Astyanax mexicanus: one gene and its partners. The protein of the gene in region 1 purifies or fractionates together with the protein of each later gene. This does not show direct contact. Links are inferred from orthologs where the notes say so. Each region holds a gene or a part of one and is shown in the gene's direction. Other genes may lie near its edges.

Region 1 (8,805 bases):
CGACTTTCACTCCTCAACAACATAGAACAGAATATAGAATAAAATAGCATTGCTGTTTCCTTAAATGAGCTGCTGGTGTATCTTCACAGCGTGAACGAGCAGCTCAGTAGCCTCTAAAAGTGCCACACTGTCAAGATTTGAAAGCGCCAAAGTCAGAGCTCACGTGGCTCTTAAAGAGAAAGACAACTGGCACACTGATTGGTTTATTTTTCACATTATGCCCAAAACCTAATCACACCCATGATTAATTAAGAGAGTTAGTTCATGCCTTTTGTGTGTTTCAAGCTGCACAAGACGTGTTTTTACTAAAATAAAGACAAAGAAAAAGACATATATATCTAAAATAGGGTCTTATATTTACTATTTAGTGATTAATCATCAGGTGTTTAAACACTTGTCCCGAATATTGGATTGGAGATTATTGGATTTTAATCACTTAGAAAACTGAATTATATATGCTAATTAATTATTTCTTCTTAAATCAAGGCGATTTAAAAAGAGTTTATCCTGCTTTTGTTGGAGTAACTGTCTCTCCTGTCCAAGAAAGACTTTCTATTAGATTTTAGGTCAATTGTTATTAGCTCTAGGGAGTCCTATTCTATTTGCAACGCTTTTTAAAGTTATTTAATTATTAATTTGTAACTTTTATTTACTGTAGTTGGGCAAAACATTGCAAAAGTTTCATTGACATTTTTTTATTTATGGCAACACCATGCAGTCAAAGGGTTTAAATATGATCCTTAAAAATTCTATCTATTTTGGAGCCATATTCTATTTTTATGGAATTAAAAAGTCCATGTAATGTGTAAAACTCAAAGAATGTACAGTCTGTTCTGTATAAACAAGTAGTCAGTTTAATCATACCATCAGTTCAGAGACATCTGTTAAGCATTTAGTCTCAGGGCTACAAAAAAAAACTAAGGGAAAATTTGGTATGACTTCAGTTCAGAACCAAAGTCAGTGTTGTCTGATCCTATTATCTCCCTTTATTCTTCCCTTTGATAGTTTCACCTCTGCTGACATCTTTTATGGAGATGCAGATTTCATTTTCCAGCAGGACTTGGCACACTGCCCACACTGCCCAATACCAAGTACCAATTGATCTTATATAATATTATATATATATTTTTTATTTATTTATTTTTTTTATTAGATGGAAGCCATAATCATCAACAATAAAATAAATAAACTCTTAAAATATTTCACTTTGTGTTTAAAACATCTATATAATATGAGTTTCACAATTTTAACTGAATTGTAAAAAATAAAGTAGCCTTTCAATGGTATTCTATTTTTTTATATGCACTAATATGTGTATCTTAAAAAATGTAATATGTAGATTAATACCTGGATTTAGAACAACTATTACAGCTAATCAACAATTAGAATTATAGATAAAGTCTGCAAGAAGGTTTATCCTCAAGAACATTACAGATTTTTTTACAATCTATCTATCTATCTATCTATCTATCTGTCTGTCTGTCTGTCTGTCTGTCTGTCTGTCTGTCTGTCTGTCTGTCTGTCTGTCTGACTTTTATTAAATAAAAATGAATACTGAAAAGGGTTAATAACATACAAATTGAGACATCTATTTTTTTTTTACTTATTTTTCAGACTTTTCCATTTTTAATCTTTAACCAAAATCTGATGTTATAAACTTTTGGAAAAAAAAAAAGATATTTAATTAGACCTCAAATTCAGAGGGGAAGAAATATAAGAAATATTTAATGTGGTAATTCATACATTTTAATGTTTTTTTCATGTTTTGAACCATTCCCATATATTTTAAGATTAAAAACAATTCTCATTCATAAATTGTAGATACATTAATTCAAAGCTATCTACTGAATGTTTCTTATTTGTAAGTTTCGAAACATAAATTTGAATTTATGATTTTTATATTTGAAAATTGTATGTATTTTATGTTTTTTTTTTTTACAGAAATGTTTAATTCAAGTTTCATAAAAATCATAAAAAAGCATTGCAAACATTAAAACATATGAATTACCCCAGTAAATATTCTGTTTAGAATTCAGGTAATTCAAATTTAGAAAATGTAATTCTTAACTTGTCAGATATCAGATTTTAAGCTCCCAAATTAAAAATAAAACCTCTTTATTAAATCAATATTTTCTTCTTTTCTGCACTTTTTCTCTAAAAAAATAAGAGAGCACTTAAAAATTATGAATTTCTTTGGTTTTACCAAATTAAAAAACTCTGGAATATAATCAAGAGGAAGATGGATGATCACAAGCCATCAAACCAAACTGAACTGCTTAAATTTTTGAACCAGGAGTAAAGCAGCATGAAGTTATCCAAAAGTAGTGTGTAAGACTGGTGGAGGAGAACATGATGCCAAGATGCATGAAAACTGTGATTAAAAAACAGGATTATTCCACCAAATATTGATTTCTGAACTCTTAAAACTTTATGAATATGAACTTGTTTGTTTTCTTTGCATTATTTGAGGTCTGAAAGCTCTGCATCTTTTTTGTTATTTCAGCCATTTCTCATTTTCTGCAAATAAATGCTCTAAATGACAATATTTTTATTTGTAATTTGGGAGAAATATTGTCTGTAGTTTATAGAATAAAACAACAATGTTAATTTTACTCAAATATAAACCTATAAATAGCAAAATCAGAGAAACTGATTCAGAAACTGAAGTGCTCTCTTTTTTTCAGAGCTATATATATATATATATATATATATATATATTTTTTTTTGTATTATGTTTCAACTGACTATATTTTACTTCTCAGAATTTATTAAGCTTCCAGATTTACTAGAAGCAGCTAAGCACTGGTTAAAAGAACGAGGTGTACAGGCTTTGTCATGGGTAACAACACCTACTTACCACCCACCAACATACATAACAGATACGTAACACTCATCACCATTCTGCATATTCATGTTCACACTAAAATAGACCCAGTTTCCCAAAACACATGAGTTCAGATTATCATAACTGGCACAGAGAGAGAGAGAGAGAGATGCTGACTCAACCATTTAAAAGTCATCTTTTTACGCTAAGATACTTTCAGGAAATACAGCAGAAGCTGATCAGTGTGATTTCCTATGATGTCATTTTAGTAACAGGGGAGAAAAGTAGAGACTGAGTCAACTGATGAACGTGAGGCGGTCAGGTTATATCTGGTTGGCTAGGCCCTACACTGACAAAAATGATGCGTAAAATTTACTTAAAAAAAGTTTTGCAACTTTCTGCAAATTTACTTTATTTAAGTACTCAGTTTTAAGACTTAAATGTTACATAGAGTAAATAAGTGAACTGAACTTATGAATTATGAATGAGCAGGTGCCCCAATACTCCCGTCTGTGGAAGCAACAGTGGTTCTTCTATTGCATCGTTTTTTTTTTAAAGCGCTTACGCAATCATTGTTTTCGAGCTAAAGGAACAAACCCACTCATTTTGGTTCATAACGGAGCAAAATATGTTCCTTCGAGAACTTTCAATTGTCTCGAAGAACACTGTCATAAAAGTGTTGTAAACAAAATGCCCCTAAAAACCACAGGCCGAGGCTTTAAACTGCTGCATTTTTCCTCTTTTCCACGGATCAACATGCTGTTTTGGTGTTGAGGGGGGTTTCGAGGGGTTTCAATAGTTAAAGCGATGGTTTCATTTTAACATGCTTTACATTAACGTACCAAAAGAATTGCTATTGGTGTGTCCCATGACTTTTGGCATGACCCCTGGAAGCTACAAAACTCAGCACTGACATGTGGTGGGATATGTGGGCAGGGTCTCCCGCATTAAATATGGATGAGATTTCTGCCAGAGTCACTTCTCTGTTAGTCGTTTTCTGTGGAAATACACATTATATGGTCAGTTTACTGTACATAGTGCTATCCCATGACTTTTGGCATGTCAGTGTATTTCAAATATTTTGTAGAAATTTAATCCAAAAGGTTGTGATGTTAACATTAATTTTTTAAGGGGTGGACAGTGAATTCGCATTTAAATAGCTTGATTATTTTATGAAAAAAGAGCTAAATTAATCATTTAAAAGCCTTTTAATAGTAAAAAAATAAAATATTCAAAACGTTAAGAAAATACCATTTAAAACATGGTTTTAATGGCTATATATTAAAAGAGTAAGTAACTAAGTAAACTAAGTACAAATACTTTGTTACCTTATTTAAGTGCAAATGTTGGTTATCTATACTTTACTGGAGTATTTTTTTTTTTTTTTCACATTTTCACACATTTATCTGAACTTTCTACTCCTTACATTTAAAACAAACAAAAAAAGCCTCTTTATTCTCCTATTTCATTTCAGCTCGATTTTATTCCGGCTTCTCCTCGTTCAATAAAACCTCTATCCAGATAAATCTCTCCATCCAGATAGAGTGAATCTGATTGTGATTGGATGTAGAGAAGTATAAACATATACCATTCCGACTCTCTATTGGTTTATACTGTGATCCATCAGACCTGCATCACAACCCCCCCCCCCACACACACACACACACACACTCCAGCAAGAACATAGCAGACGTATGTAGTCTAGTATGAAGATGATCCATGCAGAGTCTCAAGAGAACTCCAGTTTTACAAACTCCAGTCCAACTAAGCCTTTTTAATATATTTACATTCTACTAAAATACATACAATGGCCATATACTAGTGCATGTCATCTGCTGGTGTTGATCCACTGTGTTTTATTATCAAGTCTAAAGTCAGTGCAGTTTTGTTTTCCCGTAAAATCTAACAGCACTTCATGCTTCACTCTGCTACTGACAACTTTTATGGAGATGCAGATTTCATTTTCCAGCAGGATTTATTATATAATATTCAAATTTTCTGCAGCTGAAACACTAGGGAGCCTAGTGCATCCCAAATTGATCAACATTAACATTTTAATAGAACATTATAGTAATTATGTCTTTTAGAAAAATCCATAAGAATTTTTGGGGGCATTTGTTCTTAATGGCTTTATTTTTGCCCTTGTTTCACATTATTTTTTTTTTACTTCAAATATGTTTGAAAGCAGTACTTTTACACTACTTTTACTTAAAAGTTAATACTTCTACAAAATAAAAAAAGTCTTTTTTTTTTTACATCCGTAGTATATATACCTCTATATAGCCTAAAGAGTAATGAATATAGAATACTTTTCACACCTTTAACTGATTAACTGAGTGACTAACTCAGTGAATAAGAAGAGGAAGAGAGTTGAGGGTTGGGGTGGTGTGGTGGGGGGTGGTGTTGTATATGTGTGTGTGTGTGTGTTCGCGCATGCGCACTGCTCAGCTCGGCTTTCGCTCTTTCTCGGTTTCAGAACGTCTGGATACAAAGTAACTGAGAAAACCCGCCTGAAAAGAGTGAGGAACAGCTGAAGAACAGCTGAGGAACAGCTGAACAGCCCGGGACTGTTCCCTGGAGGGGTTAGATGAATGTTTGGGAGTGCCAAAAAATATAGAACACATAAAAAAAAACAAAAAAAAAAAACACAGAGCAGCGCGAGATGGGCACGGGGAAGTCCCGCAGGAAATCCCCGCGTGGCGCACATCATTTCCTCCAAACTGACAGCTCTGACCTTCTGTCTCACAGACCTGCCTGTCTGCCTGACTGAGAGCGAGCGAGAGAGAGACCTCCGGCTCGAGCGCACCGCGCGCAAAGACCCCCAGAGCGAGGGGCACCTTCTCTTCCACCAGACCCTCAAACTCCAGGACCCTCCAGACCTATACACACACCACACACACATACACACACACACAACCATGGATCTCCACACCAAGAAGCAGGAGGATCACCCCAAACTGCGCAGCTGCTCCACCATCAACACCTTCTACCACGAGACCCAGCAGGAACTGGCCAGACTGGGCCAGACCATCCTCTCCAAAGACGGGCAGATCGCCGAGCTGAAGGCCAGGCTGGCCCGGCACGAGAGGACCACCGTGGGCCCCGTGGAGGGGGAGGACCTGGTGGGACCCTCCAGATCTCTGGTGGGCAGCCTGTGTAAAGAAATCCACAAATTAAAGCAGAAGCTGAAGGACCAGGAGCTGGACGCAGCGCAGAATCTGGATTCCAGCAAACGAGTGAGTTCAGTCTGCTGATCTGCTGATCTGTGGACAGTTTTTTTTACTGGATTATAGATTTAGTGGTGATATAATATAATGGGTTATAATGGGTTGTAAAGTTGTAAAAACTTTTTTAAATATATATTTATATATATTTTATATTTTATATATATATAATAATAGATTATTCTTGTTATGACATAATAAGAACAGTGAAGATAACAGTAGAGATGGGCAATATGGCAGAAAAGTATCAGGTATCACGATAATGTTTCACAATTCAGTTAAATTGTATTGTGTGTGTGTATATATATATATATATATATATATATATACATATTATAAAAGTGCAAAGGACTCTGGACACAGCGCAGAAACTGGATTCCAGTAAAAGAGTGAGTCCGGTCTGCTGATCTGTGGACAGTTTCTACTGGATTATAGATTTAGTGGTAATATAATATAATGGGTTAAAAGTTGTAAAAAAATGTTAATATATATTTATATATTTTTTATATATTTGTATATATAATAATAGACTATTCTTGTTATGACATATTAAGAACAGTGTAGAGAACAGTAGAGATGGGCAATATGGCAGAAAAGTATCAAGTATCACGATAATGTATCACAATTCAGTTAAATTGTATATATATATATATATATATATATATATATATATATATATATATATATAATAAAAGTGCGAAGGACTCTAGACGTAGCACAGAAACTGGATTCCAGCAAAAGAGTGCTGATCTGTGGACAGTTTCTTCTGGATTATAGATGTACTGGCGAATTAATTTTTACAGAAAATAGGCTTTTATATATATATATAAGTTATATATATATATATAAGTTAACAAAAAATGTACTTTTGTACACACAAAGAAAATAGCCTTTTATAATAGATTATTCCTGTTATAACATAATAAAAATGGTCTAAAACAAAAGTTGTATTGTGTAGTGTAAGTAGGGATGGGCAATATGGCAGAAAAGTATCAAGTATCGCTTCAACAATAGTACACACGATAATGTATCACGATTCAGGTTAATTTTATTTTACGAAATTTTATGATGAATAATTAATAATTACAATTAATATAAAATAAACATGTGAAAATGAAAAAATGCTGATCACGATGAGTAAATTGGTAAATTAAAGCAGAAGCTGAAAGACGTAGAGCTGGATTATAGATTTAGCGGTGATATAATAGGATAAAAGTTGTAAAATCACACAGATTTTACATCTGTGTGTGTGTGTGTTTGTGTGTGTGTGTGAATCAAAGTGTAATCACAATGAGTAAATTGGTAAAAAGATGGAAACAATGCAAGTCCAGTCTGCTGATCTGTAAATAACATTATAGATTAAGTGGTGATATAATGGGTTATACGTTGCAAAACTAAACAGAAGTTACAGAAAATTGCCTTTTATAATAGATTATTCTTGTTTTTTACATTACATTACATTTGGCAGACGCTTTTGTCCAAAGCGACTTACAATAGTCAAGTACAATGTAAAATAAGTTTAAAGGTAAAAACAACTTTGGATAGGGATAAAAGGAGGTCAAAGGGGAATAATAGGATAGAGAAGTGAAGGAGGGGAAGAAGGAAATGGGGTTAGAAGTAGTTAGTGTTTTAGAGGTGTTAAGAGAGTAAGTGCTCTTTGAAGAGCTCTGTCTTCAGGAGTCTCTTAAAGATAGCGAGAGATTCTCCTGATCTGGTAGTAGAAGGTAGTTAGTTAGAGGTGTTAGGAGAGTTAGTGCTCTTTGAAGAGCTCTGTCTTCAGGAGTTTATTAAAGATAGTGAGAGATTCTCCTGATCTGGTAGTGGAAGGTAGTTAGTTAGAGGTGTTAGGAGAGTAAGTGCTCTTTGAAGAGCTCTGTCTTCAGGAGTTTCTTAAAGATAGTGAGAGATTCTCCTGATCTGGTAGTAGAAGGTAGTTTGTTCCACCATTGGGGAACTCTGTATGAGAACAGTCTGGATTGCTTTGTGTGAATGTTTGTTTGGCAAAGCGAGGCGACGTTCATTGGAGGAGCGCAGCGGCCGGGAGGTAGCGTAAGCCTTCAGGAGCGAGTGCAGGTAGGAAGGAGCCTGTTCTGACATCACCTTGTAGGCGATTGTTTTAACATAGTAAGAACAGTTTAGAACAAAAATCTGAGAAAAAACGTTTAAAAGCTTCATAAAAGGTTTAATATTTTAAAACTGTATGCATAAGAAGTATAAAGGACTCGGCGCTGGATGCAGCGCAAAAACTGTTTCCAGCCAAAAGTGAGTCCAGTCTGCTGATCTACTGATCTGTTGATTATTTATTCAATATTATTAATATAATGGTGAAATCAAAAGAACTTTACAGAAAAAAGGCTTTTTATAATAAATTATGCTTGTTATAACATAATAAGAACAGTGTAAATAGGGTTAGGCAACATGACAGAAAATGATCAATTATCGCTTTAATAGTACACCCTGAAATATTGGCCAAAAATCTAAAAAAACTAAGAAAAAAAATCAGTTTACAGGAGTTTTTACAGAAAATAAATCCTTAAATACACAAAGAAATCAGTGTATATATTTATTATGGATGATTCTTTTTTTTAACATAATAGGAACAGCCTAGAACAAGTGTTGTATTGTGTAGTGTAAGTAGGGATGGGCGATATGTTGGAAAGTATCAAATATTGCATTAATATTACACACGATAAAGTATCACGATTCAGTTTAATTATATTTTTATGGATTCTATAGCAAAAGATTGAGTTTAAAGCG
Region 2 (8,410 bases), on another chromosome or scaffold:
TGGAGGAAGAGTGGAGAGACACACAGTCCAAACTGCTCGAGGTCTAGTGTGAAGTTTCCACAATCAGTGATGGTTTAGAGAGACATGTCATCTCCTGGTGTTTTCCCCAGAAAATCACAACTTTTATAGAGATGTACATTTCATTTTCCAGCAGGACTTGGCACACATATAATATTATAATTTTCCAAGACACTGATTTTTGGGGTTTTATTTTATTAGCTGTAACTCTGTGTAATACATCTACATAGTATATTAGTTTCACAATTTTTAATTGAATTCATTAAATAAAGAGTTTCTTCAATGTTATTCTAATTTTGTTGAGATGCACTAGTATACATGAAGGTATGTATGTACAGTAATTAACACCAGTTGTAGGAACTGGCAGCCATTTTGTTTGGTTACTGGGTTTTGTCTTTGTTTATGTGTAGCAAGGGACAGCGTTTTAGTTTTTTATCTATATTTTTTGTAATAGACTAGGCTATCTGTATATATGCTAAACAATAAACTTTAAACATTTGTTTGGAGTCCCTTTTTTACCCCACTATAATACGTGTATTATACTGTTCTTAGATTTTTTTTATTTGTTGTGGCCTGAAATAGACCGGGTCTTATTGGTTTGTTCCAAAAGTCACCCTGAGCTACTAACCTTGCTCTGGTCGTGGCCACTGACTGCATCCAGGTCCAGAAACATGTCCAGATCACAGCCCAGCTTCCCAAAGCTGTTCACTGTGGACCCAAAAGGCCTGATAATGCAATCTGGGAAATATGCAGCAGCAATGTCTCTGAGCAGTGAGCAGACCAAGAAGCGCAGGCTGATGTTTTCTTCAGTCAGCTGACAGGCCTCGGTCAGACACTGCATCTGCTGATCTACCTGGGGACAAACCAAGAGACAGAAACGTGATCAGAACTGATGACAGAAATGTACTTTGAGCTGAGAGACAAAACAAGCTTCATTTGTTATCACCATCATCATTATTACAATTATTAAAATTAACTAGCCCTTAACTAGTCATTTCAGTAGAATAATGATAACTGCTGGTCTTAGATCAGAGTTTTGGAATGCTTTCACACCAATATAGTTTCATTCAGGATTAAAGACTTTTCAGTTTGACTGACAAAAGCAGGTATGAAAGGTGCTGCAGAATAAGTCTGCATGATTTGGGGCAAAATATCTAATTGCTATTTTTCCACAGAATATTGCGATTTAAATTGTGATTATTTTTAATCCATTAAACCCTAAACCTGTATTAGTGGTTCGCATACCTATCTATCAAATATAATTAAATTTAAAATAAATGAACTTCTTTCCACATAACATATTCCCAGGGTTCTCTGATTAAATGCAGTTATCAGTTTTATTTTTAAATTTCAAGGCACATTTAAATCGCGATTTCAATAAAAAAAAAAGATCAATCGTTCAGCCCTACTGCAGAACATGGTAACTAAACTATAGTCTAACCAAAAGCAGTGTAATGGATCAACAGAACCATGGTTTGGTCTGTGTGCAGTATGATAGGATTCTTTTTCTATGGTTTAGACTTTCAGACCAAAGTTGAGGCAGGCTATACTGAACAATTATATAAAAAAAAAAAAAAAAACACAGAAGAATAAAAAATAATTGGTGTTGTGCCAAAATGTGACTGTCCTTTGTGAGCATGTCACACAGCAGTCTGGAAACAAAAATACTACTTACGGAAATGCCTACAGTAGCTGTAGATTAACCCCTCTTTATAATATCGGAGAGTAAACTAAAAATCAAGGATAATATGTAATGCACGTACAGAAATGAGAGTCGAATTCTGGCAGGGATGCAGAATCCAGCACAACACCAGGTAAACCAATTTGCTGAACAGACAATGCTCTTCAAACCAGACAGTGCTCTACAAACCCAGCCAGTGTCTATTACAGGGACATGCAGCCTACATAGCTGATGATGACAGGACATATAGCCACATTTTTGCTGCACTCACTAAACTACAATGTGAGTCTAGCCAGACCAAATATATATATAATGTAACAAACACATGAAACTTGTTCCAGACTTTCAATCACAAACAGTTTAAAAAAAGTTTAGAAGGTAAATTAGGTAACTTACAGTCTCTTGTTTGGATAGTTGATTTATTAGCTTATCAAAGGAAGGGGGTGTCAGATTGTGGCACTTTATCGCGTTTGGTCCAGTTTGCTTCTTGCCCGTAGCAGTCGAACTTAACGTGAGCAGACGAGATTTAAAGGGCACGGAGGCTTCATGCTGCAGACTTGGTATAGTACAGTTTTCCTTTAGTGATGAGATACTGTCCCTGCTGGAGAACTCAACCACAGCATAGATTCCCTAGAAGATGACAGACATGAGTTACTTAAGATGAGGATTTTATAATGTAAATAATTATGTAATGAGCAGTAAAGTATGGTTTGTCACACAAATGACAAACATACTGCAGGTTTGAACAGACTCCAGCATTATACTTACATAGGTCTCATAAAAGAAATGGTTCCTGATGTCTCCATGTTTAGATATATAAGCTAAAAACTTCTTCTTGTTGGTATTTGGGGGACAGTTGATCAGGACAGACCTCTCAGCTTGATCATGTCTTTTCTCTTGGATCAAGGAAAATGATTCCTTAGCATCTGATACAGCTAAATATGACAAACAAAATGTAAAATAATCAAAAATGAATTAATGGGGATTTAAATGTTGCAGTATGACAAGATGTTAGATTAAGAAATAAAGGTCATTTAATCAGGAACTTTGAAAGTATTCTCAAGTGCAGTCGCAAAGACCATAAAAAATTGACATTATGATGAAACTGGCACTCATCAGGAGTGCCCCAGAAAAGAAAGCTTAAAAGATTCTTCTGTTGCACAGAATAAGTTCATTACAGTTACTAGCCTCAAAACACAAGTTAACAGCACCCAATATAAGAGCAAATACATTAAACTTTGCTTGTTTAAAAATAGTCTGGATTACTTTAGCATTTATTTACATTGCAGGAAAAAATACATAAACGTTGAATGAGAAGGTGTCTCCAAATTCTGGCTGGTAGGTTAATGTGTGTGTGGAGAAGATGCCATTGATTACAGCAGTAGCTTCCTTGGTCATTTTCATCTTTACAGACAATGACCACATAATCAAACTGACCACTTTATAACAGTGTCTACAGTCTACATATGAAGTGAGAGATGGAGTGAAGCATTATTAACACAGCTGTAATTTATTTAACTCTGTGTAGTTAGCTCATGCTGGGAGATGTGTCTGTCCCTCAGTGGGATGGTACTGGGTCTCGGAGCGCTGTAACATACCGGTCTGCTCGGTGTTACTGACGGCCTGAGCCGCTGTCGCAAAGCCGGTCCTGTGGAGCCTGGAGAGCCCGGTCTGAGCCTGCAACTCACAGCGCGGACAGAGTCTCAGCAGCCTGTCCGCTCCCCGCACATATGCCCTACACACGCTGAAGCAGGCCGCCATTGCTGCACTGTACAAGACGCATGCGCACTTCTCACACACGGGAGAATATACGGGAGCTGTGAAGGGACAAACAATCGCTTTATCGTTTCATAATATAAAAAGATAAAAATAAAAAAAATACTAAAAAAAAAAGAGTATCTGTAAAATATATTCAAATATAAAAATTACAATTAAATAACGATTTGAAAATAGACTACTTAAAATTATTTAAGATTCCTTTTCACATTAAAAAAATTCAATATCATCTAAAATATTTATTTAGCATTTTAGGTATTAAGTATTAGTTATTTATTTTTTGTACACTGTTGTCAACAACTAAACATTGGTATAAAAAAATAAGAAATAGGAAACTTAAAGACAAAACATTAATCACAAATGTTATTTACCAAATTCTGACTTGCAAAAATAACATAAGTTATACAGAAATTAACGTCTAACCCTTTAAAACTTTTATAGAAGTAAATGTCGTGTTTTATTCGACTTATAAGTGAAGTGTATTTACTTTTATTTAGGGTAGTTTGGTCCTGGTATTGAATAAAACAAATATTTACATAAAAAACAACACCATAGTTCCATCGGGTAAGACGTGCATATATATTTTATTTGGACTAGTTAAATATTTACATATTGGTATATATTTTTATGTTGTGAGAATATAGCTATATATATGTATATATATATATATATATATATATATATATATATATATATATATATATATATATGTTTTTTTTATCCAAGATGCCCTTCGTTATTATAGCTATATTCTCACAACATAAAAATATATACTTGTATATACATATATATATATATATATATATATACATATATATATATATATATATATATATATGTATATACATATATATATATATATACAAGTATATATTTTTATGTTGTGAGAATATAGCTATAATAACGAATGCGGCTATATATAGCTATAATAACGTAAAATGTGGCTACAATATTTGACGTGCAGAAACCTGCTAAAGGTATTAACACCGGTAAACTTTACCCTTTGACTGTTCCATAGAAGGAAATGGAGGAAGTGGAGAGATGGGCCATAGAAACCCAGTGAGGCTAAAAGAAAAACGAAAGCGCAGCTGACGCAGGAAGGAGTGATGAAAGCAGAGAGAGAGAGAGACCAAGAGAGAGACAGAGAGAGAGAGAGGCGGAGTCAAACTCAGCACAAACAACCTGATCTGCAGCACTGCTCACATTCAGTCACTTTTACTACTGCTCAGAGGATCACACACAGATACACTGCTCTGCTCACACACACTTCTATGTCGGTAAGTACATACTATTATCTTCCTAATATATATAAGTTATATGTTATAACTTAACTAATTTGTTGAAATACTATAGTCTGCAGGTGCTTTATATATTATTATATTAATAATATTAGGTTTGGCTGCAGTAATACTTGAGCATTTCATGTAATGTACATAGTACAAACCCTATAGCCAGCTACTTACTTAGCAAAGTGAAAGTACAGATAATAAAATATTACTCTATATTTCTTTAAAATATTACTCTAGAATACACTAGGTATATATCTTTTTTTTATATTAGCTTGACAGGTGGTCGGTATTGTACCTTAGACTGCAATGTATACAGTAAGTGCTGTCTGTAGTTTGTCATGGTGCACTTGTGTATATGTACAGCATATGTTGACAAATTATTTTTGTGTGTGTGTGTGTGTGTGTGTGTGTGTAGGCTTGCAATAATAACAAATATTTATAAAAAAAATAAATAATGAAATAATCTAAAATTATCCTTAGTAAGCAAACACAATGGGTAATTTTGAGGTCTGCAAAAACAAAGATAACATTAATATTGTGTCAGGCCTATGTGTATATGTATTTTTTAAAGTAGTTACTGATGCTAATGGTTTTTAACCATCCATCATTTGTCATTCTAAGTTTGAGAAATGGTAAAAATGCACCCTTATCTAAATTATAATTGGAATTTTGTGTTCTATTTGGTTGCATTTTGTTAAATTCTGAAAAAAAAATGCTGGGCTATAATTGTTTCATCTGTATTGTCTAGACATGGTTTTGATTTAGGTAAAGTGCCTCATATTTTTGGAATGTTATGGAAATCTTATATAGTAAATTGGGGCTTTAACAAAGTAATTTTTTAAAGTAAAGTGTTTTTTATTACTTTGGTATCTGGGAATCCCTGACTTGCATTTTTTGTGTATTTATCAAGTCCCTTATGAACTGAATCACATGTGTCGGTGCAGGGACTGCTTCAAACTGTGAAGGGCAGGGGGGGGGGGGTGGGTTCCCCAGACTGGAGCTGAAAACACCTTCTAATTTTTAACAGAGCTGAAGTGCATTATGGAGTCTTTTGTTTTATGGAGTCAGATGATTGTTTTCATTGTCTAAGCCGGTAACTTGTTTCAGTTATATGGCCTTTTCAGGTGGCAGGCCTCCAGCAGTATGTCTGCTGGTTTAAAGTCTTGTTTTGTTTCACTGGCTTGATGATTTGAAAATGAAGGGGCTGTTCTTCCTGAGCCTTCCCTTCCTCTTAAAAAAATCTCCCCTCATTTGCAAAGCAAACAGCCAAACAGGCTCAGCAGCAGCAACGTCAGGCTGCATGTTTAAACTATATATATATATATATATATATATATATATATATATATATATATATATATATATATATATATATATATATATATATATTAGTAAGTGCTTAAGGCCATTTTGGGCCTTTATTGGCAAGTAGTCTGATTAAAGCTCTCTGTTCCAGACTTCACAGTAGATCACTAATCCAAAATGGATTTCAAGAATGAAAATGCTGAGATAGAACTTCTTCTGACGCACATGAACATCGGAGACATCCTCCAAGCGGTGGAACATCTCTACTCCAACAGAGAAGAGGAGGAATCGGGCGTGCTGTTCGAGGAGTGCCTGTCGCAGGACGAGATGGATGAAAACGAGGAGAGTTCGGGCAGCTTGGTTTCTCATGTGCAGAATGGTGGGAAGGTCAGGTACGGGACTGTGTCTGATCTCCTGGCCTTCGTGAACATGATCTCCAACACACAAGTAGCCACACTTAAGGAACTAGGAGAAGAGTTTGGAGTTCTGCTGAACAAGGTGAGATAGTGTGTGATGTTGGGCTGTTACGATGGATTTATTTAAGCAAAATATGGAATAAAGTTTATGTTCTTAATTATGGTGCAGGGGTTGTTGAGCATTTTGCATGATGATAATGCATCATTAATATAAATTATATTACTGGCCTTTCTTACAGTAAAAAGGAAGGCCTAGGCATACACTTATGCATGTTTAAAATGCTGATTTTTTTATTTAATTGGATTGTTCTAGAGATGCACAAATTCAAAACATGTTTTTATTCCAATTATTCCTATTTTTTGCAAGAATTAAACACCCTCAATGTTTTTTGGTCTTGCTTTTCAAACAAAAGAGCAGTTGAAAATTATTTGGTCTTTTCTCAAACATATAGGGTGAAGTTTTTTTTGGCAATTGTGCTTAAATCATTTCAGTGGCCTAATATTTAGTGCATGCATTTTTTTAAAACCTTTTTTTTTTTTTACTTTTCATGCTTGTTACTGGTATTTTTTTTGGTACAAAAAATGCAATAAGACTCTTAAAAATAGCACCTGATTTTATATTGTCCTCCGTATTCTTCAGTCATGCACACAGTGTGTATTTCTGGTCAGACAGTGTCTTGGGGCAGCAGTGTGACCGAGGTTCTGCATGTTTCATTAGTGTTAGTCAGTTGATTTGTCTCATGGCCCGTGTCTCATGTGCACTTCCTGTTGTGCTCGTTCTACAGGCTGACATGGTCATTAAGGAGGGGCGCTATCGCATCGACCTGGACGTGCTCCTTTTTCCATGGAGACTGACCTACAAGGCTATGGGCTCTGGCCACATTCCTAAAGGCTCTTTTGGGAAAGTACACCTGGCACAGGATATCGAAACGCGCAAGCGAATGGCATGCAAGCGGGTGAGTCCAGGAATGTGAGAATCTGGCCAAATCTCTTCGGTTTCCCACTCATGCAGTGTGTGTTTGTTCCAGTCAAACAAATGACTCCCTTTCCCATCAGCCTATTACAGTGCATCCTGTTTGGCTACAGGCAGTTTGCAGAGTTATGACGGATTAGACAAGAACATGACTGAGAATAAGTGCATGTTCTTTCGTTTTTGCTTATAAAAGTTCTGACATGGGTGTAAATATGCTACAGACAACAAAAGGAGTGCACAGTGAGTGCACTGATAGAAATAATGCATTGGAATTTGAAGAAAACATTCAAAACTCCTTATTAACCCCTTATATTCTGTGACTTATCACATTCTAAGAATTACTAAGCACTGTGTGCAACTATGTGCAAAGCAACGCAAACTGTCTGAGTTTTTGCATATAAATTATAACAATGGGATAAAAATAGCCAAGCTTCTAATTCCGTATCATGCTGCTTGGCATCAGCAGCGAGAGTCCGAGAGAGCACAAGTGGTCATGCTCTCTGTCTGGGTGCGTGGGTGGGTGGGTAGGTTGCACTCTCTCTCCACGTCACTCCCAAGTTGATGTTGCTCAGCACAGGCATCTGTGAGCTGATGTATCAGAGCTGGGTTGCTGCGCTTTCCTCCAAGTGTAATGCTGCATTAGTGACAGTTCAAAAAGAGGCGGAGTCTGACTTTTCTGTGTATTTAAAAAGCAGGCACATGTTTGTCTTTACCCTCCTAGTGTTGGGGCATTAAGAGTGATAGGGGGAGTCCTAGCTAAAGAGTAGTCATCATGCTTGGGCCACAAAGGCTCCATGTAATGCAGTATAGTCATCTTTGCTTCTGTGCAGTAGAGACCTTCTGTAGAAACGAGTCATAAAGTAGATAAAAAGGAGACAAGTTGTGGGGAAGCCATGAGATAATCAAGGACTAGATACAGCTAATATTGGGACACTTCCAAAATTCTAATGAA
Region 3 (8,067 bases), on another chromosome or scaffold:
TTGTAAGAACAGATGGTAAATAATGCAGCGATCATTTGCTACTGGAATTTTAGTAAATGCGAGTTTCTGACTTGGAAGTTGCATATGAAAACCCCCCAAATCCTATTTTTTAAATGGAAAATGCAGAGATTTCCTTGCATCCTTTTTTAGAAGACAGGGCAAAAGACAGAATCAGTATTGGATGGTACATATATTTCTCTATCAGTTTTTATCAGTGTACTTGGTTTTTAATGGTTGTTTGTTTTATATACAGCTCTGGAAAAAAAAGAGACCACTTAAAAATTATGAGTTTCTTTGATTTTACCAAATTGAAAACCTCTGCAATATAACCAAGAGGAAGATGGATGATCATAAGCCATCAAACCAAGCTAAACTGCTTGATTTTTTGCACCAGGAGTAGCATAAAGTTATCCAAAAGCAGTGTGTAAGACTGGTGGAGGAGAATATGCCAAGATGCATGAAAACTGTGATTAAAAACTAAAGTTATTTCACCAAATATTGATTTCTGAAATCTTCAAATTTTTATGAATACAATGTTTTCTTTGCATCATTTGAGGTCTGAAACCTCTGCATCTTTTTTGTCATTTCAGCCATTTATCATTTTCAGCAAATAAATGCTCTAAATGACAATATTTCTATTTGGAATTTGGGAGAAATGTAGTCCGTAGTTTATAGAATAAAACAACAATGTTCATTTTTCTCAAACATATACCTATACATAGCGAAATTAGAGAAACTGATTTATAAAATGAAGTGGTCTCTTATTTTTTTTCCAAAGCTGTGTATGTTTACTTAATTAATATAGAACAGTGATATTTATCTTTCTATGCATAGCAAATTGGCTACTCTGGTAGTATGATGCAAGTTATATTACATTATTTGAGGTTACATTAAATAATTTACATTTTTCATATTGTTCCAACAACAAAGACAATTTCATTTAAATGTAACATACTCATACACCCAGCTTTACAACTTGGGGAAGCAGAACCTTTCAACCAGTATGTGAACCCAGTGAGCTTAAATCCCCCCATTCTTAGCCCCCCATGCTTGATTTGCCTGTGCCTCACTGTAAATCCCTGAGCTGTGTTCTTATTTATGCTTGAATAAGAATTTCCAGGAAAAAAAAACAGGCACACACAGACATGCATGCATGCTTTCAGACTGACAGAGCGATACGAACACACACATTCACAAACACACATTCACCAGCCACATTTCATGCTGAGAGAGCCCTACACTGTGGAATGCTAAGAATGTGAACCCTTCTATCACTCCTACTTCCTCTGTAAGAGGTAAGAGCACAGTCAGATGGACTGACAAATCCATAAAATCTATTGATCTCGTCCTTGAATGTCTGCATAAAATAAGTTGATTCATGAGCTGTAAAGAAAGCAAAAACGTGAATTTGCCATGTCATGTTATACAATGGCAGTGGCTAAATTGAATGTCTGAACATCCTGTTGACATTTTTTTTATCAATTTTACAAACTAGAAATTTCCTGTAGCTCAATAATCTTGCTCAACAATGTAATGTAAACAGATTTTCAGTTTATTTGCTCTTCTCTAGATCCAGAAGGACAGAGGTGAGAAGATAATTAAAGCAGGCCTCTACAAATCACACTTAACATGAAACCAGTCAGCCACTGCAATCTGCGAACCACAAACAATAGCAACACTGCCATCTTATGGCAAAAGCTGTACAGTTTTAGCAGCATGCCTGCAGCAGTATTTCCTTACCACTGTGAGACTGTGGTAAGGAAATTGATTCTAACATGACATTAACCATTTAACATTTACTATTATTTGCTGTTAGATAAAATAGAGGTTAATATTCATTTAATATGCTGTTATATATATCAACACAGTATATTCGTTTATATTCCACACAAATACTGTGTAAAAATATTTTTCTAAATTAATTCTGAATGAACACATTTGTACAAATATAGAGGAATATTAGCCTTCACTTTAATGTACTTTTTGTACATTTTATATGTTTTCTCTCAGCGCTGTAATTATTCTGTTAAACAGTTAATTTTTTTTTTAATGACATGACCTGTTTATTTTTAAGAGCCTGAAGGCACTTGCTGCATGTTCAGCAATTAATAATATTAATTTCAAGTTAAGTCATGAGGCTTTTATTGTCATTGCATTTGAGTACAGGTACACAGTGTAATGCAATTACGTTCCATCAGAGCAACATGGAACATTAATCATTAATCATTAACCAATATGATAAATTAATATTAATCAAATTGTCTCCATATTAAGCTGAGGTAAACCTTAAGCTGTCCATCCTGTCATAAAAAAAAACATCAAGACAATTTTAATAATTTTTGAAAAATCAAAATGTATCTTTTGAAACAGAAGATCAAATTCAAAATGCTTGCAACCCTAAGTTAACCATGTTTTCATTAAATTATTAAAATTCTGTTCAAATTGCCCACCCTGTCATGCAGCTTGCCATGACTGGAAATAACAAGGGAAAATACAATGTTATTACACTGAGAAATAATTAATAATAATTCCTGTCTAAAGTCTTATAAATATAATAAATAGTGAAAATAAGTTGCCAAAATGCACAGAAATCGGATAATAGCCCATAGTCAAGATTACAAAAAAAAAAAAAAATACTGAACCTCTTGCTGTTCTTGCTCTGTTATTGTGGTGATAAGACTTACCACAATATTTGCAGTCCCTGAAAGTGTTGTGTGTGAGTCTGACTATAGAGTGAGTATGTGTTTGTGCGACCTCATCTTCAACTATTCAGCAGTGGGCGTCAACAGACTGCAGTACAGACCTGCTGCAGACACAGAACTAAGTAAAGGTCAATGCTGCTGTCATATATGCTCTGTCATACAAACTTAAAAAGGGGAAATAACAGCTTACAACAGTACCAGGCATTAAACCTGATTTTCTTTAGATATGTTTATTAACTTCAGTTTAATTTAAGTGTAGTAGTTAAATGAGTTGAAAGCTTCTTAAAGGTCTTGGGTCCAGCAGACATGAATTTTAGGCCTATAGCCTAGCATTTTTTAGGTAAACTATACTTCTTGCTTGAAGGCAATTAAAAAAAATCAAAGGACAGTTAATTGCATGTGCCTAAAAGTATACAGACACACATTTGTGAAAGTTGTTTAACTAAAATCACTATAAGTTCAATTGTTTGTGAATATGTGTCATTTTTGGATTTGAACTGATAACCAATGTTCTTACACTGTACCTTAAAATGCACCCATTGCATCACAAAGCTTTAATGATTATCATAGAAAAGTATTAACTTAGAAAGAATAGGACATTCTTTAGGAACCACATATGAGCCTAAAACAAAAAGGGCAGCTGAATTAATGTGTGCAAAATTAAACAGACGCCTAAAAATGCTGCATTTTATTTAAATGTAATCAAGGGTTTGAGCTACTGTTGCAATATATATTAAAGCATTCGTGTTTAGCATAAGAATGTTGCTTTGCACTACTTCATTTAGCTGTTTTCAGATGGTCATCAGATGGTGATTAAAAAGCTGGTCATCCAGGCAAAAAAATATTCTATGCTGAAAAGAGTAGTTATTGGTAGTGAATGCATTTGTTTCTGGTCATGTTTTGTAATGCTGGTCAGCTTTGTGATGCTCATGCTAGTCATCCAGCATAAGCAAGCTTGGATATCTGGCATGATCAGGTGGATCATGCTTGCACACCAGCTTAACCATCATACCTAAAAGATACCCTATCCTGCGCTGAAGGGATGTAAAAAAAAAATGCTGTTTTTTTTCTCCTACAGCTTGGCCAAAAAGAGGTCGCTGTGGCATTGTTTCAATAAGCTTCTGCAATTTTACAAGATTTATTTCAATCCAGTGTTGCATTAATTTTTCACCAAGATATTGCAGCATTTATGATGGTAGAGTCTGACCATTGTTCAAAGCCTTCTCCAGCACATCTCAAAGATTCTGTTGGTTAAGGTCTGGACTCTGTGGGGGGGGGGTTAGGGTTTGGACTCTGTGGGGGGGTTAAGGTCTGGATTGTGGTCTGGAATGTGGTGAACAATCCACGTGTGAAAGTGATGTCTTTATTGACTTATTGACTTCTGAACTCTTGAATCTTTATAATTATGAACTGAAAGCTCTGCATCTTTTTTGTAATGTCAGCCATTTGTCATATTCTGCTAATAAATGCTCTAAATGACAATATTTTTATTTGGAATCTGGAAGAAGTGTTGTCCGTAGTTTTTTTTTTCCAGAGCTGTAGCTGCAATATAAAAGTGAGAGTGTGCCAGTTAGGTATGATGAGGGGATTAAAGAGGTAATGACAGTACCAGTACAAAACAGAACCTGTATAAACAAATGAAGGTATAACGAGGTATAATATATAGGTTTAAAACTTAAGGATGGTAAAGTGCATACAGTTCTTTAATAGTTATTTTAATGCAGAAAAGACTAATTTTGGAAATGCACTGATTGATAAGGGTGTCTGTAGATATTTGGACATGCTGTGTATTATTTTCAGTATTATATTGTCTGCGGCCTAACTGACATTTGCAGAAGAGGCAGCAGGCTGAAGTTAGACAAGTAGGCTGCACACACACACACACACACACACACACACACACACACACACACACACACACACACACACACACACACACACACACACACACACACACACACACACACATTCAGCACGAGGCGCTACAGCGCCGCTGATTGGCTGCGCGGCGGCAGGCGGAAGCTGCAGGGCAGTGGGGATTCCCCGAGGGAAGTTCCCAGCTCATTGTAAAACATGTCAAACGTCCATTTGTGCGAAGCACTCCATTTCCTCCCTTCTCTCTTAATGTGAAAATAAAGTTATAGAGTAGAGCGGCGGCCGGAGAGCGCGGCGGGGTCAGAGCGCTAGATTAATGTAGGTCTTTTGACCACTTTCCGACAGAAGGTAAGACTCCATTCACAGGCGGAGAGTTATAGTTCTGGCTAACCGGGCTAAGCGGCTACTAGGCTAGGTTAACTGTGTGTGTTCAGCGGTTGTTAACAACGCAGCTGAGATACTGATACGGGGGTTTAGGGTCGGTGGCGGGTTTGTCTTCGAGCTTCGAGCTAGTTAAACAGCTAATGTCGGCAGCAGAGGGGCTGGTTTACTCTTTATCTATCTATCTTCTCCCTGACGGAGCGTCCGCTCGCTGTAGTGTTTAGAAAGTTTTACTGAGCCGCCCTCATTAACTAACGTTAACTGCATTACCCGGTGTTCTGTCGAGTTGTGCTACCTTGTCAAACCGTGCTACCCTAGTGTATATTTAACTGTAAAATTCTTAAGAAGCATAATAATGGAGCATATTAGAGATGTTGGCAGTAGAAGTCCCAGTAGATGTAGCGTTAGTATATTTAGATAGCATAAACCACTGTATCATGGCAAGCAAAAAAGTAACGTTATTTTCTATAATAATTATTGTGTATTATTATTATTATTAATTTCAATTTGACTTTTTGTGCAATAACAATGAGTAAAGGGTCTTTATTGTACAAAAAAATCGAAAAACATATTTATTATTTAAAAAAAAACATGAGAAGTAATGAAAAAGTGTAGATCAGCGCATGCGCAGTGCCTTTAGGAAGCACTTATAGATCGGTAGCATAACTCGACAGAACACCTCGGAGCTCTGAGCTGCGTCCTCTCATACTGCTGCCAGCGCTAACTTCCCATATTTTATCCTAGCTAAGATAGCTTCAGCTAGTTAACTAACCTAAAAAACAGGCTCAAAAAATTGCCCACACACCTATAGGAGTTATTTGAAATCTGCTAGCTTATCTAGTTTCATAATGTAGAAAACTTAAGCTTCTCTTCATAAAATATGTTTAATAATATTTAAAATACGTTTACGTTGATAGCTTTTCTCAGTTCCTATAAAGAACACAATTTTTATAAGTATTTTAAGCTAAATTCATTTATAAAAAAGAAAAGGTTTATTTGAAATTAGAATTTGTTTATTTAAAATGAAATTGTTTCACCTACTTAACTGACTAGGTTAGCTAGTATATATATAAAAAAAAAACGAAACCTAGCTCATGACATGTTCAAAAGGTTTATTCATATAAATGTGACCTTTTCTTTTTCTACTAAATTAAATATAGAACAATGCTTATTTATATAAAGGTGACATCTTCTTATTTCTGCTTTTAAACTTAAAGAAATTAAAAATAGAACAGTGTTTTTTGTTGTGTAATACAAATTGTGAATTTGATATATTAATTAATTAAAACTATATTTTTCTGTTTTTTTTCTGGTTAGTTTGATGTTTGTTTCTAAAATTAGACACTTCGTAGTCTGGTCTGTAGAAATTTCTGCTTTGTTTGCCTTGTCATTTCAAATTATATATATATATATATATATATATATATATATATATATATATATATATATATATATATATATATATATATATAAGCCACTAAATAAAGTGACTTTGTGTAAACAGCAGTTTAAATAGGTTTACTAGGTTTAACTACCTAACAAAAGTAATGTTTACATCAGTTCAAACCTCACACACACCTCATATCAAGTTATGCCATGTTCTGCTTAGAAAACTAAATTAGACTACATTTATATTGTTACATATATATTTTTTTTATTTAAAAAAAATATATATATCAAACATACCTAGATATAGCCTACTAAATGTGTTGCCTTAAGTAAAATTCTTTAGACCAAGTTTATAGAGTAACTGGTTCACATGTATGAAAATGAACATGCTTTATCACTTAATAAAGTATCTTAGTGTTTCTGTTCGGCCTTTGTTTCTGGACATTTAAACTGTATAATGTGGTCAGTAGATGTTTGTTCTCAGTTTGCATGCAGGCTCTGCTGTAAAACTGGTTTGTCAGTAAATAAAAGGGAGCAAGGTTTATTTAACTCAAACAAATACTTTGAACTGATGTACTGATTTAAAGCAAAGTGAAACATATATAGGTTATATGAACAGCAGTATTTTTTACGCCAGTTTAGAACCCCAAACACTAGTCTTGTTCCTTGATATCATTAAATCATAACTTATGTAGAACTCTTTAAGTTTCTATGATAAGTTTCTAACCTGAAAAGAAACAATAAAAATACATAACAATTGACAAGAGCTATGATCTACACTAATTGGTCTACACTTAGCCCTAAAAACTTATTTAAAATCTGTTTTATGTGGTATAGAACAATTTTTCTATATTTATTAATCAAATCAGTACTCTGCTTTAAACAATAGTTAATTCTAAGCATTATTGTACCTAGTTAAATTACCTTTTACCAGATTAAATAAGCTTGGGACCAAATTGTTTACCCCATTTTCAACAAAAAAAAAAAACAAGTATCCCAGTGTATGCCTGACCAGAAATCACACAACTTCCGGACAGAGAAGTGACATATTTCTTGTAAACAAACTACTTACCATTCTGTACCTCCGATTTAGACAGATCACAAACCTGTACAAGCTGCAGTGCTTTCTGCTCTCATAAAAAAAAAAAAAAATTAAAATTATTTTTTTCATGTGCCATTTACTGTTTATCATGTTTGTTAATGTGTGTTTTTTATGGCCTCAGGACTCATGACAGCTCCATCCGTGATGTTACTGAAGGCATGGATCGAAAAGGCATGGACCCAAACATTAGTGATAAGCTGAACAAGGCCTATGAAGCATATCGCAATGCCTCGATTGAGAAAGACAATGCCAAAAAGGAACTGCAGCAGAAGGTTCAGTACAAACTACAATATGCATTGTTTCTCCTTTTTTTTAGTCGTTGTGTATTGTACATTGTGTAGTCAGCTTTAAAACCAGGACCTCTGAAAATCAGGACCTCTGTTGTGTGTGTTGTTATAGAAGGTGGAGTTTGAAGTGTATACTCAACAACTGGAGAGGAAGATACAAGACCAAGAGCAGCTGATTTCAGAGCTGAAAGCGCAGTTGAGTTCAGCAATAAAGCATGGGACAGGTTAGTCAGAAACTGATGTGTTTAAAAAAAAATATATATATATATATATATATATAAACAACAACTGTATAAATATAAGTGAATTACAATACTATGAAGTACATTTT
Region 4 (7,941 bases), about 35 Mb from region 1:
TAATCGGAGGGAGTTATGGGGCAAAAAAAGTAAAGAGTGTCTATTTTTGGTTACAGTGTCAGTTAAAACTGAGCTAAAATTATATACTTATGCGAAACTCAAAATGTATCATTACTGAAATAGGCTCAGGTATTCAGAAATAAAAAAGCACAAGTAGATAAAATGAGTCAGGGCATGGTTTACATTTCTGTCACACAACACTTACAGGTTTAAACAATTTACACTCAAACACAAAACATATACAGTGTGATGATTTCAGAACCAGTGTAGGACACCCTCAGCCTCCTCAGGACTGCTAGTCCTCATCTTTTTCATCAGTCAGGTATAAACTCAGTGCTGTAAGTTACTGCATTGCACTTCTTACCCATTCTCTTGAGCTTGTAAAAATGTCCACTAGATGGTGTCTGAGTTCACGTTTGCGGCCGCCATAGAAGCAGGTGATTTTTTAACTAGTATGAAACAGTTTTATTAGGCCAGTGTTTCCCAACTGGAAGCCCCCGGCACTGCATAGTTCTGAGTCACAGCATTTATAATGATCAAAGTCATGTGAACCATATAATAAATACATCTACTGAACACTGGCCTGGACAGAATGTACACAAATAAGCTTAATAATCTCTGTGCCTATCATAAAACAGTAACTTGTGTTATTATAGAATTATTATTAATTATTATAGACACACCAGATGTATCAGTGTGAAACTGGTTGATCTTTATTTTAGACCTGGTTATAAACAGAATGTACAGCAGCGCAGAGTAGGCCAGGCTGTGGAAAAACTTTTCTGCACTTCATAAAGTTTTTTTTCTTTCTTTTCATCTCTGTCTGAGAATAACCCCGGGGAAGTTCCCCTTGACTAAACTGAGTGAGAAAAAAAGTGGACGGTTGATTGATGTGAATCATATGTATGTTCACATCCACTCTAAGCAGCGTGTGGCACATTATACAAGGCCATACGGCAGTAAAAATCTGAACAAAGTATTAGAAGAAGCAACTTAAAAAAGGAATAGGCTGCAGGCATGGACACAGTGAAGGCTTCGTAGATGTCCCTGCACTGTGTGTGAGCAGACTGAAACTGGGTACGTATATTGGGATTACTGAACAAATTCTTTACAAAGAAAAACAGACAAATTGAAACAGGTTGTGTGACAATTTAGAATAATTAATTCATAGTACAAGAGCTGATATTTCTGAATCTTAGCCAGAAAATACTGAGAACAGTATAAACCTGTCTGTTCATTTACTGAAAACATGATGATTCAACCAAATGTGTTTGTGTGACAGTCTTAATACCTATTCGTGGGTATAGCACAAGCCTGAATGAGGGAAGATAGTACAGTACATGTTCTGGTAAAGCACTGGTATGAGCAGGTGATTATTATATGTGGAAAATGTGACAATATTTTAATGTTATGATCAAATATGTCACAGCATGCTTTATTGATCATATCATGGACGATGTCTGAAATTTCAGAACACTGACCAGCGTACAGTAAATAAACAGTATAGTCGTGTTTGTTTGGATTTTGTGCAGTACTTGTGTCAATCCTTATCTGCAACAGGCCGGCATGAATGCAGGTTTTCAACTAAAATGTTTTATACTTACAATTTATAATTTATAATTACCGGTACATTCCTTATTTCACTCTGTTCTTTAATGCTCGAGACCCTACAGAATAGACCACCATAGAGCGGCTACATTGACACTGATCAGTATGGTGGTGATCTATGAGGTGTTAGTGTGTGTTGTGTTGGTACGAATGGATCAGATACAGTAGTGCTGCTGGAGTTTTTAAACACCTCCATGTCACTGCTAGACTGAGAATATTCCACCAACCAGAAATATCCAACCAATAGTGTCCTGATGGAGGACTAGAGGATCACAAACACAAACTGTACAGCAACACTGAAGAACAGGGTGAAAGAAGAATAATAATACAGTGTACAGAGACATGAATACAGGACTACAGTCTGTAATTATACAATTATATATGATCAGAGAAGCTGATAAGATGGACAGTGAATGTAGTGTACTTTTAACTACACAATGATAAATAACTGGAATTATACGTTTATGTGTATATCAAACTATTATATCCATACCACTATATAATCAAACTACACTAGTTTAACACAATACTTCTATTATAGACTAATGGAAACTCCTATACCTATGCAACATGCAAATTATTTAAGCAAATATCATTTAAATTAGATGGTTATTATAGTTTAGACTACTTCAACATATAATTTTACTAGAAACAATGTAAATACAATGCTTCCTAAACCACAATAAAAGCATAACTACACTAGATGAACACATTACTTTACTATACATGGCTCAAAATAGAACTAGAGCTACATTTATTCATCTATACATTTTAGTTCATTTCCTTGCAATCCTTCATTAATATATACAGTATACACACCTATTAAAGGTGTGGGTAGATGATGCTGCAGATGATCTTTGTAAGCTATATCAGCTATATCATCATTAAGTAAAAGAATTACTTACTAGATTACTAGATAGTTATAATATAATAACTGCTATATTACAAATACTTTCCTTAAGGTCCATTTCTAAATGTGCGTCATTTATTTTTACGACAATTTTAAACAAAAAGGATACGTTAAAATTTGTGTTTTAGATGTCATCCTAATACTGTTCAAAGTGCCCGTCTCTTACCGTGCCTCAATCAAAAAGCTGTTTGAACTGAAATATTTCTAAAACATAAATGTGAGTATGGGCGGAGCTTTCCTGCTGTAGGCTGAGCAAAATTGGTAAATACACTTTTGCACCCAGAAGAAAGTGTGGGATTGTAAAGTTATTCAGAAGGAAGATAAAAGTTACCAATACCAAAAAAGGTTAGTAATTTAGAATGACATGGTCCTATTCATTGAGGTACAGATACAGAGGTCTCAAATAATCCATCCCGTGACACCAGGCCTTATGAATGTGTGATGCCTTACAACAAACAGTTGATCCTGGTGCTGGACACGGTGGCTCCACACATGGATTTGTTGGTCACCCACTTATTTTGTTTTATTCTTTCAAATTTTAGAATACAAATATACTTTTTTGAGAAGACACCCTGTACTGCAACACTTAAAAGATTGTCATCAGTTTTTTACAGTACTGCTATCTGTACAGTTGGCATATGAACGAGAGAATGGCTGCAGTTAAACTGGTATTTCTTGCTTCTGGGCTCCCCGTACAGTTGTGGCATTTGTACTTTAAGCCACCACCCAGCAACACACTTTATACATGCATTTTGGGACTTAACACTGAAAGAGAAACAATCATGTGAGCTGACACAGCAAAGTAATAGTACAAGATTCTCAGGTTACATAACATTACATAGTTTTTTGGGTCCTGCTTACTTCAACAACATCAGACAGTGTTGTAAACAATACAGACGCTATTTTCCCAGTTACACATAAGATTTATAAGATGATAGGATCTAAAAGAGCTAAAAATGTTACACAATATATTACTATCCATTTACCAAAACAATGCCAAAAGCCTCTTAGCTCAGGTCAGAGTGATATGCAAATAAGTTTGTCTCAGTAGGGTAAAAATGAGTAAAAAGCAAAATTACTAAATTCTATGTTTTTATATTTTTAGAGACGTGTTTTTATCATTAACTACATTTTGCCACTATTACTTGGTTTCTGCTTAGTCCATGTAGAGAAGAACTGATAATAGAATCTTTTTGGAGCAGATAAATGTAAGCCTGAACGTGATGCCAGGCATGGGTTAGACGTATGAGGGTTCTTCCAATATATTGATGCTTTTGGTGCTGAGTGCATCAAATCCTCACAGCAATGCTTTATAGTCTAGTATAAAGTGGGGACAAACCCTTTTTAATATCCCTAATTTTGGAAGAAAAATAATGAGCAGCTGTCCCAATATGTTGTTCATGTGGTGTAGGTATTTTCCTTTTTTGACCCAGAATAAACCTAAAGCTGTTTAACTCAGTTATATAGACGTAACTGAATTGTAGTTGGTGGTGGTATTGAGGTGTTATCTAGTGAGGGTGGTGAGGGTGCTCTGGCTGCGGGTCTGAGCGCCCTCTGCTGGCCGGGCCTCAGTCTCAGACAGCACTAACCCGCTGAAAGGCCTGAAACAGGCGCGCTCCGCGGCTAACAGCAGCCCTGCGCCGCTGCGGGGGAGGCTCGGAGGGGCGCAGGCAGCGGGGCTGGTGGGTTCATGGGTGGTAAAGGCTGGAGCTTTTTAAGACAATAGAAAGATTTAAAGGCCCGACAGCGGGCAGACAGATACTCCCGGCCAGACCTCCGCCGATGGGTGTGGCAAACATTAGCAGCGTAACTGCGTCACCGTTTCGAGGGCGACGTCAGCGCGCTCCGCGAGCGTCCGCGCGGGCCTGGGGAGGTAATTGGCTGCGCGCGGTTGTGAAAGTGGAAAGTACCTCCTTGGAAATCCCCGCTGGCTTTTCCTTGTTGACATCAACTCGAAGGCTTTTCGGCTGGTTAAGCCCCGCTCCGCTCCGCTGTGTGAGAGAGAGCGTGTTATTGTGAGGAGGCTGGTGGTGCGGATCAGCCCGCGGTGTGAAGCGCCATGGAGCAGCAGCAGCGCGGTTAGCGGGGTTTAGCGCTCCGGACTGGGGGACCGAGGAGGCGCGGAGTCGCAGCTCTTTCTCTCGGGCTTCCGCTGCTGGATACCGACATATTGAGCAGGTAAGAGGCGCGCGGCCCCGGTCCGCCCCGCGATTATCCGTGTTGACTCCACACTGAGCCAAATGAGACGGAGTCGGTTCGGAGCGGGCCGCGGTGACTCGGTGTGTGAGTGAGAGCGGATGGACGGTGTGATTCTGAATGCCCGGGTCTGACAGCCATTGTTTGTGAAGACGCTCCTCACAGCCGCTTATTAAACACTCCGCGCAGCGGCGGCCCGCTGTCGGCCTCGCCAGTGTGAATGAGGAGTGTGTGGCAGGTAGTGGAGTGTGTGTGGCGGGTAGTGGAGTGTGTGTGGCGGGTTGTGGAGTGTGTGTGGCGGGTAGTGGAGTGTGTGTGGCGGGTTGTGGAGTGTGTGTGGCGGGGGTTTATTGTCTGTAAGGGACAGAATTACGTAATTGGAGCGCCAGCTCGCCGTCGCCGCTGCTTTACCCCGAGCGGAGCGGCGAGACGCAGCGGCTCCTATTGTTGTGCTGCAGCCGAGCAAAACACCCCGCCGCCGCCTCACCCCCGGTCCGCTCAGCCATTCTCCTCTGAGCAGCGTTTTACTGCGGGCAGAGACGGTGGGCATGAGTTGTGTGTGTGTGTGTGAGAGAGGCAGGGTATTTGTATAAGTTGTCCTCAGACAACCTCAGCCTGTGACTGAGCGCAGGAGAGCCTAAATGATGCCCTTGTAGGTTAGCTTAGCATCCTCAGGCACTTTCACTGACAGAAGATGAGAATCGTGTGTGTGTGTGTGTCTGCCGTCCGCAGACTGTAGTGTAATAGACCAAAAATTACCCTTTGTCCATCTCTGTCATCATGACCTCGAGGAAGTGTTTCACAATAAGGGTTTGGTAGTGTCCAACGTCAGGTGGCTCCATGGGCCCACCTGTTATATCTAACCCACATATTTACTCCAGCCTACATTGTCAGAGTGTATTGGTTGAGTAATTGGTTGAGTATTGTACATGTTGAGTAATGTCATTATTGCTGTTCTTTTCCCCCCAACAGAAATAATTTGGTGTCCCGCTCCTCTCCCAAGAACACAATGTCCCAGGGCCAGAACTTCCTGCCCAAGTTCCTGTTTGTCAGCAACCTTCTAAAGGCTGTAAAGATACGCGAACGTGTCCCCAACGATGTCGTGAAGCCCTCCTCCAGCGGCGGCCTGCTCCATCACCTGCGGGGCATGCACCGCTACACTCTGGAGATGATCCGCATGAGCCAGTTCCCGCAGGCCTTCTGCGAAGTCATCCAGGCAGCCATCTTGGACCGGGCCATGCAGATCTCCCTGGAGCAGGAGAAGAGGCTCAACTGGTGCCGAGAGGTCAAGAAGCTGGTGCCGCTCCGGACGAACGGTAAAGTCTTGCTTTTAGGTTGTCACATAGAAATGAGATTTGGCCAGCCTGAGCATCTCTTTTGGTAGCTGCTTTTTTGTGGGGATTTTGTACAAATCAGATTGGAGAGTCCTGCAGACTGAAAATTATGGATATACTTGGCTTTAGAGTGGTAAACTGGTTTGCCTTTAACACAGGGTATGTCTGTAGAGCAAGCTTACAGCTGAATACAAAGTTTTTTAGTTAGCCATCATCTAATAAGGATTTGTTTGTAATCATGTATAGCATTAACATAAAAGTTTTCTCATGTAGTGCAGATCCTGTTGGCTATTCACAGTTCCCTTTTTGCTTCATTAACGAATTGTGCCCATTTAAGGCCCTCTAGGCCTAACTGGCCCACTGCACATACAAATTTGTCTGTGGTGAACTCTGTTCAGTATAAGATAGACTTGCTAAAGGTTTGTGTATGAATTATGACAAGATCAAATAGTCAGTTGTGGATGTATATTGTGTTTGTTTTAAATGCCTGATGCACAGGCATTTTAGACATAGAGGGAAAATCCTGTAGCACCCCTTTTTGGTGTGATTTGATTTTAAGTGGCCCCACTATTGCGCTGTTAACTGTAAGCTCTAAGAGAGTTAAACATTTCTACTGTTAACTTGAGGTCAAGCTATTCTGCTTGCTTAGGATGAGTAATTTAACAAGAGGAAGCATCTGTGTACTTGCCCTTTTTGCTTCACTTTACAGTCACTTATGTTACAATAGCCCCACCTGAACAGAAGTGTCATGAAAGCTTGTGTTTTACAGAAAGTTGAAAGGAGACGTCGGCCAAAATGTATTGTTCATCACCTTTTGTCATGACTAGAACTTTTTCCTTAGTGTGTTTCCAAGATTGGGGTGACGGTGGTATTGTGGTGACTTCGAATCGTTTCAGAGTTGAGCTGTTGAATCCAGACATTTTATTTGCTGACTTTTCCTCTTGTAGCTAGCATCTAAAACAGTTAATTTATATGGTTTATTGTACATATGTTACTAATATAGATATTTGGACTCTGTGCAGCTTCCTCTGAATTAATCTAGTCTGGGAATTTTGTGTTTTGAAGTCGTTTGCGGATGTGAAAGTGTTGGAACTGAATGTGCTGCTTTGAATAAAAGACTTCTCAGAATGGATACCACTGGCTGCTGATTACTAGAATTCATAGTATCAGGTGACACTGGGACAGGGGTGAGGGAGAGCAGGACAATCCGTTCCAGTGTCTGTGCAGCTGACTCATTTTATTTTGTGTCCATGTCCTGAAGCTGCAACTGAAATGGCGATCCATGCTGATAAGGATGTGGTTGTGAGTGAGGAGCTGGGTATTTCTGACAATCACCTCCCTGTGTTTCATATCATTTTTTTCACCAGTTGTGCCAATGTGTTATTATAATTGATTTATAACATATAATATCCCCATACATGAAGAAATAATTTATGATGTGTGACCTGCATCAGGATACTTAATTAATTTTACATTTGATACATTTAAGATCCCTAGTTACGACATATAAACATTACTGACAAAAGCTCTCCTGTCAAGTTTGAAATTTCCATAGTCAATCCAGTTATACAAAGCTAATACTGTTTTTTTAAATGTCAAAAGCTTAGGATAGTGAAATGTAAAACACATTGTTTTATTGGAGGTATAGTTCTGTTTTTACACAGAGTGACACTTTGGTGTCATGGATATTGTAACGTTTCATAAAATGTGTCTAGTCATGTGGAAAATTTCTCAGTCCTCCCAAAACTATTTTCCTTCAAACAAAGGCCTGTTCTGCTTTGCTCACATTTAAGAGCTATTTATAGGACCTGTTTTTTACTCAGCCTTGATCTTGTGTGTTGAAATGTATTAAAGTCTATTCATTTTATTTTTTGATATTTGTTTTCATGCTTG

Evidence for each region.
Region 2: the proteins of tnip2 (region 1) and map3k8 purify together in Homo sapiens (affinity purification with mass spectrometry; 3 studies listed by BioGRID and IntAct, with this or other methods). This does not show direct contact. The link is inferred for Astyanax mexicanus from reciprocal best matches to the Homo sapiens genes TNIP2 and MAP3K8.
Region 3: the proteins of tnip2 (region 1) and tank purify together in Homo sapiens (affinity purification with mass spectrometry; 3 studies listed by BioGRID and IntAct, with this or other methods). This does not show direct contact. The link is inferred for Astyanax mexicanus from reciprocal best matches to the Homo sapiens genes TNIP2 and TANK.
Region 4: the proteins of tnip2 (region 1) and tnfaip3 purify together in Homo sapiens (affinity purification with western blotting; 5 studies listed by BioGRID and IntAct, with this or other methods). This does not show direct contact. The link is inferred for Astyanax mexicanus from reciprocal best matches to the Homo sapiens genes TNIP2 and TNFAIP3.

The regions. Positions count from the first base shown.
Region 1 is NC_064414.1:51,113,506-51,122,310, reverse strand, and holds the start of tnip2 (TNFAIP3-interacting protein 2), read left to right. Parts: upstream 1-5,268; 5' UTR 5,269-5,415; coding exon 5,416-6,060; intron 6,061-8,805. UniProt on the Homo sapiens protein: Inhibits NF-kappa-B activation by blocking the interaction of RIPK1 with its downstream effector NEMO/IKBKG.
Region 2 is NC_064422.1:35,266,661-35,275,070, reverse strand, and holds the start of map3k8 (mitogen-activated protein kinase kinase kinase 8), read left to right. Parts: upstream 1-4,647; 5' UTR 4,648-4,752; intron 4,753-6,220; 5' UTR 6,221-6,246; coding exon 6,247-6,567; intron 6,568-7,270; coding exon 7,271-7,441; intron 7,442-8,410. Other genes in the region: poly(A) RNA polymerase, mitochondrial, read right to left, coding at 647-871, 2,096-2,329, 2,468-2,634, 3,298-3,460.
Region 3 is NC_064418.1:34,054,924-34,062,990, forward strand, and holds the start of tank (TRAF family member-associated NF-kappa-B activator), read left to right. Parts: upstream 1-4,738; 5' UTR 4,739-4,925; intron 4,926-7,570; 5' UTR 7,571-7,607; coding exon 7,608-7,721; intron 7,722-7,848; coding exon 7,849-7,960; intron 7,961-8,067.
Region 4 is NC_064414.1:16,578,913-16,586,853, forward strand, and holds the start of tnfaip3 (tumor necrosis factor alpha-induced protein 3), read left to right. Parts: upstream 1-4,561; 5' UTR 4,562-4,696; intron 4,697-5,686; 5' UTR 5,687-5,723; coding exon 5,724-6,030; intron 6,031-7,941. UniProt on the Homo sapiens protein: Ubiquitin-editing enzyme that contains both ubiquitin ligase and deubiquitinase activities.